2 linked regions of the Macaca mulatta genome follow. The protein of the gene in region 2 interacts with the protein of the main gene of each other region in a pairwise test. Links are inferred from orthologs where the notes say so. Each region holds a gene or a part of one and is shown on either strand. Other genes may lie near its edges.

What was found. The genes of interacting proteins can lie anywhere in the genome.
Region 1: the proteins of DZIP1 (region 2) and PPP2R5A interact in binary tests that used the Homo sapiens proteins (3 or more experiments, as listed by UniProt). The link is inferred for Macaca mulatta from reciprocal best matches to the Homo sapiens genes DZIP1 and PPP2R5A.

The regions. Positions count from the first base shown.
Region 1 is NC_133406.1:70,022,288-70,026,436, reverse strand, and holds the start of PPP2R5A (serine/threonine-protein phosphatase 2A 56 kDa regulatory subunit alpha isoform), read right to left. Parts: upstream 2,822-4,149; 5' UTR 2,246-2,821; coding exon 2,065-2,245; intron 1-2,064. UniProt on the Homo sapiens protein: The B regulatory subunit might modulate substrate selectivity and catalytic activity, and might also direct the localization of the catalytic enzyme to a particular subcellular compartment.
Region 2 is NC_133422.1:90,364,464-90,368,025, forward strand, and holds part of DZIP1 (cilium assembly protein DZIP1), read right to left. Parts: intron 1,701-3,562; coding exon 1,563-1,700; intron 1-1,562. UniProt on the Homo sapiens protein: Molecular adapter that recruits protein complexes required for cilium assembly and function to the cilium basal body.

The DNA of each region.
Region 1 (4,149 bases), on a different chromosome or scaffold from region 2:
AGGCGCGTTGGCTCACGCCTGTAATCCCAACACTTTGGAAGGCTGAGGTGGCCCAATCACCTGAGGTCAGAAGTTGGAGACCAGCCTGACCAACATGGTGAAACCTCATCTCTACTAAGAATACAAAATTAGCGGGTCGTGGTGGCCCATGCCTGTAATCCCAGCTAGTTGGGATTAGTTCGGAGGCTGAGGCAGGAGAATTGTTTGAATCCGGGAGGCGCAGGTTGCAATGAGCCGAGATCGTGCCATTGCACTCCAGCCCAGGCAACAAGAGTGAAACTCCGTCTCAAAAAAATTAAATTAAATTAAATTAAATTTAAAAAATAAAAATAAAAAAAAAAAAGCAAAACGTATCAAAGCTGCATCTCCTGGCCTGAAAACAACCAAACGTTTAATATTCAATTATTTTTATTAAAGTATACTATTAAGAAGTACAATACTAAGAAACTAGAATATCTTACTAAAAAGCAAATTAAATAACTATGAAATAACCCTAGCACGAAACCTTTAAACTACATAGTTTGACAATTTAATGAGGAAAAAAAATCAGTAGTGTAAAAAAACTATGATATTTTAAATAAGTGTAAAATTTAAAATCTATGAATAGCAAAGACGATATTCTTTTATAGCTATGACATCATTCAAGAATTAAAGTCTTGGCAATGCCTATCATTACAGTCTACCATTTTGCTATGTAAATTTTAACAATTTTTGTATGCTAAAGAGCAATCAAATGATAAATTCGATAACACAGACTAATCATATCTCTAAACCTCTTTTCAAAAGCCAGTTTGATTCTAACGGTGAGATGTCATGATTTAGAACCACTCCAAGAGTCAGGGCAAGGTAGGGTCTCAATAGGGTTCTGGAGCTGTTGTAGGTCAGCTGTGATTTGATCTGGGTTTTCTTTAGACTCCTTGCCAAACTAAGGCTGGATTCACAGGCCCAAAGACAAATGAGAACCAGACTGGCCTTGAAGGAGATGCTGTAGCTTTTTCAAATGAATTGAAAAATCTGAACATCTGATGATATGGATCTCCGTCAGGTTGCAAATTTTATTTAAAAATGTAGGAGCATTATCATCTTGTTCCATCATTTCTATCTCATAAAATGCAAGGACATTATTAAACATACTGAGTAATACACAAAGAATAAACTAGAACACCAGGAAATAACATCGAAAATCCTCTAAACCTAGTAGGAAAAGTGAGCCAAAAAGAGTGCCAAGTTCTCCTGCAAGGCATTAGGCACGGATACCAATTTGAATTCCTGTACAAACCTACAAAGTCCCTGGAATCACTGCCTGGCAAACTAAGTTCCCATTCGATTGCAAAGCAACACTACCTACTTCTTTATATTTCCAAATAGACCGTGTGTATCATCTCAGACAACAGAATATTTTAAATATTTCTGTTCTTTGAGCTACAGGATACCATTTAAACCTAACGATCCAGTGAATAAGATACTACACTGGTCAAATTTTTAGGCTTTTTCTTTATAAATACATCCAAAGGCCAGCTAACTCTTCGCCGATGTTTGCATTCGGATTCCTGGTTTGATGACTCTTAGGGGCAATCAATGGGAAGTGGAGTTGAGAAGAGGGTGGGTGCACACGGCTTTATAACTGTAAAAGTAAAGGACTAGCTAAAAGTGGCTGAACAGAGGAGCTGACACTCGGGAAAGTGAAGGTCGGGGAAGGTTCGTGCGGTTGTTAAAGCAAGACCGGGAAAGGGCAAACCTGGAAGAAGAGTGAAGGGCTCTACCTCGCGGGACGCAAAATAGGAAGTGCAGGTTAAGCAAGCGCGCAGGTGGGGAGGGGTGTTGGCCTCCCCTAGGATGGAAAGAGTTCAGGTGGAGAATTAGAAGGAAAGAGCCAAGACTTCACAGAAAACCTGTTTGAATAAGGAGGAGGGGGTGAGGGGACGCCAAGGCATCGTGGGGAACTCGGCTCACACACTAGGAGTCCCAGCTGAGAGAAGCCCAGAAGGAAATGGCTCTGCTTGCGCAGAGGCAAGCGTTGCCAGCCCCTGCGCTCGCTCCCGGGGCTGCGCCCTCGGAGGTTACCTTTGAGCTGGGGCAGCGGGTGCAGCTCTGCCTGGCTGCCCTGGCTGCGAAACTGCGACGAGCCCTGGGAGCGCTTCTGCCTCTGCGCCTTGCGGACCGATTTCCGGGTGAAGCCGTCCACTTTCTCCGAGGCCGAGATGGCGGCGCTGGCAGCCCCCGCCGGCGGCGACGACGACGACATCTCCGCGGCCCTGGCGCTTGGCAGCTCCGGCTGCTGCTTGCAAGGCACGGGCAGCGGCGGAGACGGCAGGAGGAGGCGGGGGAGAGGCGCGGGGTGCTCGCGCCCCTGCGCCCCGGCCCCACGGCCCTCCGGCCCCGGGACGCCGCCGAGCTTCTCCTCGCCGCCCGCCAACGCCTCACGGCCACATCTCAGCGCCGGAGGTTCCTGGTCCCCGGCGCGCGGCGAGCTCCCGGGGCTGACGGAGGGAAGGGCGGGGGCGGAGGGGGGTGAAGAAGTTGTTGACTCCGGGCGCGCAGGGCGGGTGGAAGAGAGCCCGAAGTTTAGACAACTGAGGCGAGGGCACCGGGGTGCTGGCGCCAAGCGCGCCTCTCGTTGCTTCTGCCCCGGTCGCCAGCCAGCCGGTCGGCCAGCACCTCAGTGGCCGCTGCCGGCGTAGCCCGCCCTGCCTGGAGCCTCCTCCCGGGGCGCTGCCATCGCGGGTCCCCTCGGAGCCACTGCCGCTGTGCCCACTCTTCCCGGTCAGCGCCGGCCCCTCATCACCCGGGGCGCTGCCCCGTAGCCCCGGCCCGGTGCGTGCACACACTCCTCCTTGCCGCGCTGGGCGGCCCGAACCCCCTCCCCCACGCGCCCGTCGGCCGCCCACGGAGAACCCCCGGCGAGCGACCGCTACAACTTGAGAAGGTGGTTGGTACAGACGAGCGGGGAGTGTGTGCGCGTGTGCGCGCGCTAGGGCGCGCGGCCCGGGGAGGGGCCTCGCGAGGGGTGGGGAGGGAGGAGTTTGACTGACAACTTCCGCGGGGTCCCGCCCGCCTCTCGGTGCGGCGGCGGGGGAGGGGGCGGGAAAGCATGCCAGTCTTGTTAGCCAATCGCACGGCTAAGCGGCAGCGACGGCGTGAGGTGCGGCCTCTTGAGGCAGAGGAGTGGGGCGGGCTGTGTGACGGGCTTTGGCCACAGCCAATCGTAAGTGAAGAAGGCGAGCGGGGTGCCCCTGCGTCACAACAAATGTGGCAAATCTCTTGGGAGGGAGGGGAAGCGCCCCTCCGCCAGCTGGCACTTTTGCGCTCATGCGCGACTGCTCCAGGCTGTCATTGCTCTCCGGGCCGTCTGCGAGAAGACCGGGAAATTTGAGAGGGTGCGTTCAGAGAGCAAAATTGAGCGCCCCTTCCCTTCGCTCTCCTCTCTGCTGGCCAGTGAGGAACTGAAGCGATTGGTGGGGCGCCGGAGGGCTGGGGCGCGAAAGAGCGCCAGGTGTTATGCCACTGAAAGGGGGCGCAGCAAAGGTCGGGTGGCGAGCAAGCAGTGTGATTGATGGGCGAGGGAGCCCTGGGGGAGGCGAGGAGTTGAGCTCGTCCAATCGTTGCGAGGTACTGGACACCTGGGCGGGTCTTGGCGCCTCACTGGCCCCCAACCGCGTAATTGATAGTTGCGGAATAAATTTGTAGTTCTTGGGAGGTTCGGACTCCGCAACTCCAGAGAGCTACTCTCGTGTGGGGTTTGAGCAGTATAGCATCTACTGCTTCAAAGAGTTCTGCAAGTCCACGCCCTCTAAAAAGAGAGTTCTCATTCCCAATTTAGTATCCTGCTAATTTTCACCCCTCCTTGAGCCAAAGGCCCTCGACTACTCCAATGAGAAGAGTACAAATTCATTGGTCAGTGGTGTGTAGATATGGAAGCTTGCCATGTACTCTTACTGGAATCTCTTTCTTGGAGATTCCGTCTAGATTTTGAATTTCTTAAGGATAAGGACTGGTCATCTTAGTTTTTTTTGTGCAGTGCTTTCCATACAGCGGCCATTAATAATTATTAATCTGAACAGTCTGCCTCCCTTTGCGGCAATAGACCGAAATCTGTAATCCCCTCCCTGGAACTCCAGACCTTTTCCTTTCAACATAATAAAAGTAGTT
Region 2 (3,562 bases):
ATGGCCACTGGCAGGCTAAAAGAAGATTAAGAGACAGGCCCTGCTCTGGATGGGAGGCGAGTAGACACAGCCATGGAGAATCCACATACAATGTGTATGTGATCAGGTCCCACTTAGGGACTACAAAAATGCTATAGCCTAGAGGCTCAGGAGAACTTTCTGAAAGTGGTACCTCCCCCCCTGGCTGAATACTAAAGAATGAGTAAAAGACAGGTCCCGAAAACTGGGAGCTGCAGGACAGGCAGGAAGGCAGCCAGAGCTGAGGAAGAAGACAGAAGGCCATGTTCTCAGAGGCATGGGCTGCTGGGCCGCTGGAGTGCCAGGAAAGCAAAGAACAGAGAAAGATGTCCCAGGGATCAGAACCCAAAGGACCCTGCAAGCTGGTGGGAAGTCCAGAATAAGGGTCACTGAAGGACTTCAGACAGGACAGGGACATGGTCAGCCTGACTGCAGTGGAGCAGGTAGATTTGGGTAGGGGAGGAAAGACGTGAGCACTGAAGCAAGAAGCAGTGATCCTGATTTCCAAAGTTCACTTACCTTTTTTAGAATGACCCAGGCTTTTTAAAAAAATCCTGAATTCATAAGCTCTCATCTCTATTTTCTTCCTAGTTTAAAAAAAATTGTTCCCCTAAACCGCTGTGACCAAAATAGCCATGATAAAGACTGTGCTGATTACAGAAGTTCACTTCCAAATAAAAGTGATTGTCTCATAAATGTAAGAGATCTTGGCCAGTTAGCTGTGTGTGTGTGTGTATGTGTGTGTGTATACATATATATGTGTGTGTATATATACGTGTGTATGTATATATACGTGTATGTGTGTGCGTGTGTGTATATATATACACACACGTATATATACACATACACATATACACACGTATATATATACATACACACGTATATACACACACACACACACACACACACACATATATATATATATATATATATATTTTGTTTGAGACTGAGTGTCACTCTTGTTGCCCAGGCTGGAGTGCAATGCTGTGATCTCAGCTCACTGCAACCTCTGCCTCCTGGGTTCAAGCAATTCTCCTGCCTCAGCCCTCCAAGTAGCTGGGATTACAGGCATCTGCAACCACGTCCAGCTAATTAAGCCAAGGTGGGTGGATCACCTGAGGTCAGGAAACCAGCCTGGCCAATATGGTGAAACTCCATTTCTACTAAAAATACAATTAGCAGTATATTTAAACTCTAAAACTAAATCTGGTGCTTCAATGTGCCCTTCTACGCCTTTTGAAATTGAAAGCTACATCTGAAAGATGAAAAATGAATAGCTAGGTTATACTAACCAATTCAAATTGATTTTATGGAGAGAAGAAACAAAACAGTTTTGCCAACTGTTGTGTATGCTATTTGCCAACAGCAAGCGTGTAACAAACACCTCTTATGACTTAGGCATGTTGCAGGAGAAAAATAAGAGCTAGTCACCTTCATGGTTACTGAAAAAGACACACACTTTTTCTGCAGATGGCACTCACGGTAAATTACTTCGCTAAGAAAAAGAAAGGCATCCACTGCAGCTGCCACCCACTTGCACGTACCTGACTATCAAGAAGCTGCATGACATTATGGAAATCCTGGGGATATGGAGAACGGTCTTCTTTAAACTCGTGTGCATCTTTTAATGTGCCTATGTTGGACTTGATCTGCATATTGGACTTCTGGATTTCTGACAGTTGCTATAAGATAAAATTCAAGCTCAGTACTACAGTTAGACTTTTATAAGACTGAAACGGAGAATAAAATCAGGGAGCACGTAGCTGTGTTTTAAATCTGACTGCCCTCTTGGATGCTCCTGGATGCTCTTGGAAGCTTCTCCCACTTCTGCTTCCCTGTGGTTTTACTGGTTTATTTCTACTGCTTGCTGGTCTTCCTATCAGAATATGTACAGGGTGAAAAAAGGGGAAGGAAAATCTAACTTTCTAATCTTAAATGAGTCTATTTTTTTTTTTTTTTTTTTTTTTTGAGACAGGGTCTCATTCTGTTGCCCAGGCTAGAGTGCAGTGATATGATCATGGCTCACTGCAGCCTCAACCCCTGGGTTCAAGCAATCCTTCCACCTCAGCACCCCCCCCCCCAGGTAGCTGGGACTACAGGCGTGCACCATCACACCTGGCTAATTTTTGTATTTTTTTTGTAGAGACAGGGTTTTGCCATGTTGCCCAGGCTGGTCGCAAACTCCTGGGCTTACACAACAATCTGCCTACCTCAGCCTCCCAAGGTGCTGGGATTACAGGTGTGAGCCATCAGGCCCAGCTGGGGCTTAAAATTTTTTATGGGCACTTAATAGGCACCAGAAACAGAAGAACTGAATGCACCTGGTTCTTAAGCTAGTTTAGTGAGAGGCCAACACTGTCCAGGGACCACATCAGTAAATCCATTAGGGACATAATGTTTTAATTTTACCCTTTTCTTTTGATGTTGTTCCTAATGTTACTCATGGCAAAAACCCTCAGAAAACCACAGAAGGTAACATGTTAACTTCAAAAACAAAAGGATAGGGGAGCGCACTTCTTCTCTCCTCAGTGTAGGCTGCTCATAGTGACTTCATTTCAGAAAGGACAGCAGGGAAAGGAGGAAAAAAGAGAAATTCTTTGGTGGACAAACCTGACAAACACTACCTCAGCCAGGTAGCCAAGCTCAATAGCAACAGTTATAAATCATGTAGATTCATAACACGAGGTCTCAGACAAAACATTCAACTGTACCGCTCCTGCACAAAAATGCCACCGACAGCACGTAAATTACCAAACATGGCTGTGTTTCAATAAAACTTCACTCATGACACTGAAATGTGAACTTTAATGAAATTTTCCTGTGTCACAAAATAGTCTTCTTTTTTTCCAACATTTTAAAAATGTAAAAACTGGCTGAGCACAATGGCTCACACATGTAATCCCAGCACTTTGGGAGGCCCAAAATCGTCTCTACCAAAAATACAAAAATTAGCTGGGTGTGGTGGCATGTGCCTGTAACCCCAGCTACTCAGGAGGCTGAGGCACGAGACTCACTTGAACCCAGGAGGCAGAGGTTGCAGTGAGCCAAGATTGTGCCGCTACCCTCCAGACTGGGTGGCAGAGACTCTGTCTCGAAAAAAATAAAAAGTAAAAATGTAAAAACTATTCTTATGTCACAGGCCATTCAAAATCAGGTGGTATGCTGGACTTGGTTCATGGGCCATCGTTCACCAAACCTCATGCTAGAGTTTAAAGAGTTTTAGGAAAGCCCTCAGGTGAATTCCAAAAATCTCTCTATTTTTGTTTATAAAACTTGTTGGCCCCTAGAGGGAGCTCAAGGACCTTTGCTCAGCTCCCTTCCTTTCTACCTTTTCCCCAAAGAAGAGTCACGTCAAATCTAACCAGGGAGCTTAGAATTCTTAGCAGGAGGACACTGATGGATTGGCTGCTTCTTTCTAAAGAAGCAGCTCAGGTATCATCTACGCATGAGGCCAGGGCTGTATGGACCAGGGCTGTTCCCATAAGGGAGAGGGGCTCATTTAGCCATAACTTGCTTGCTTTAGAGATCCTACCCGGGCCTGGGT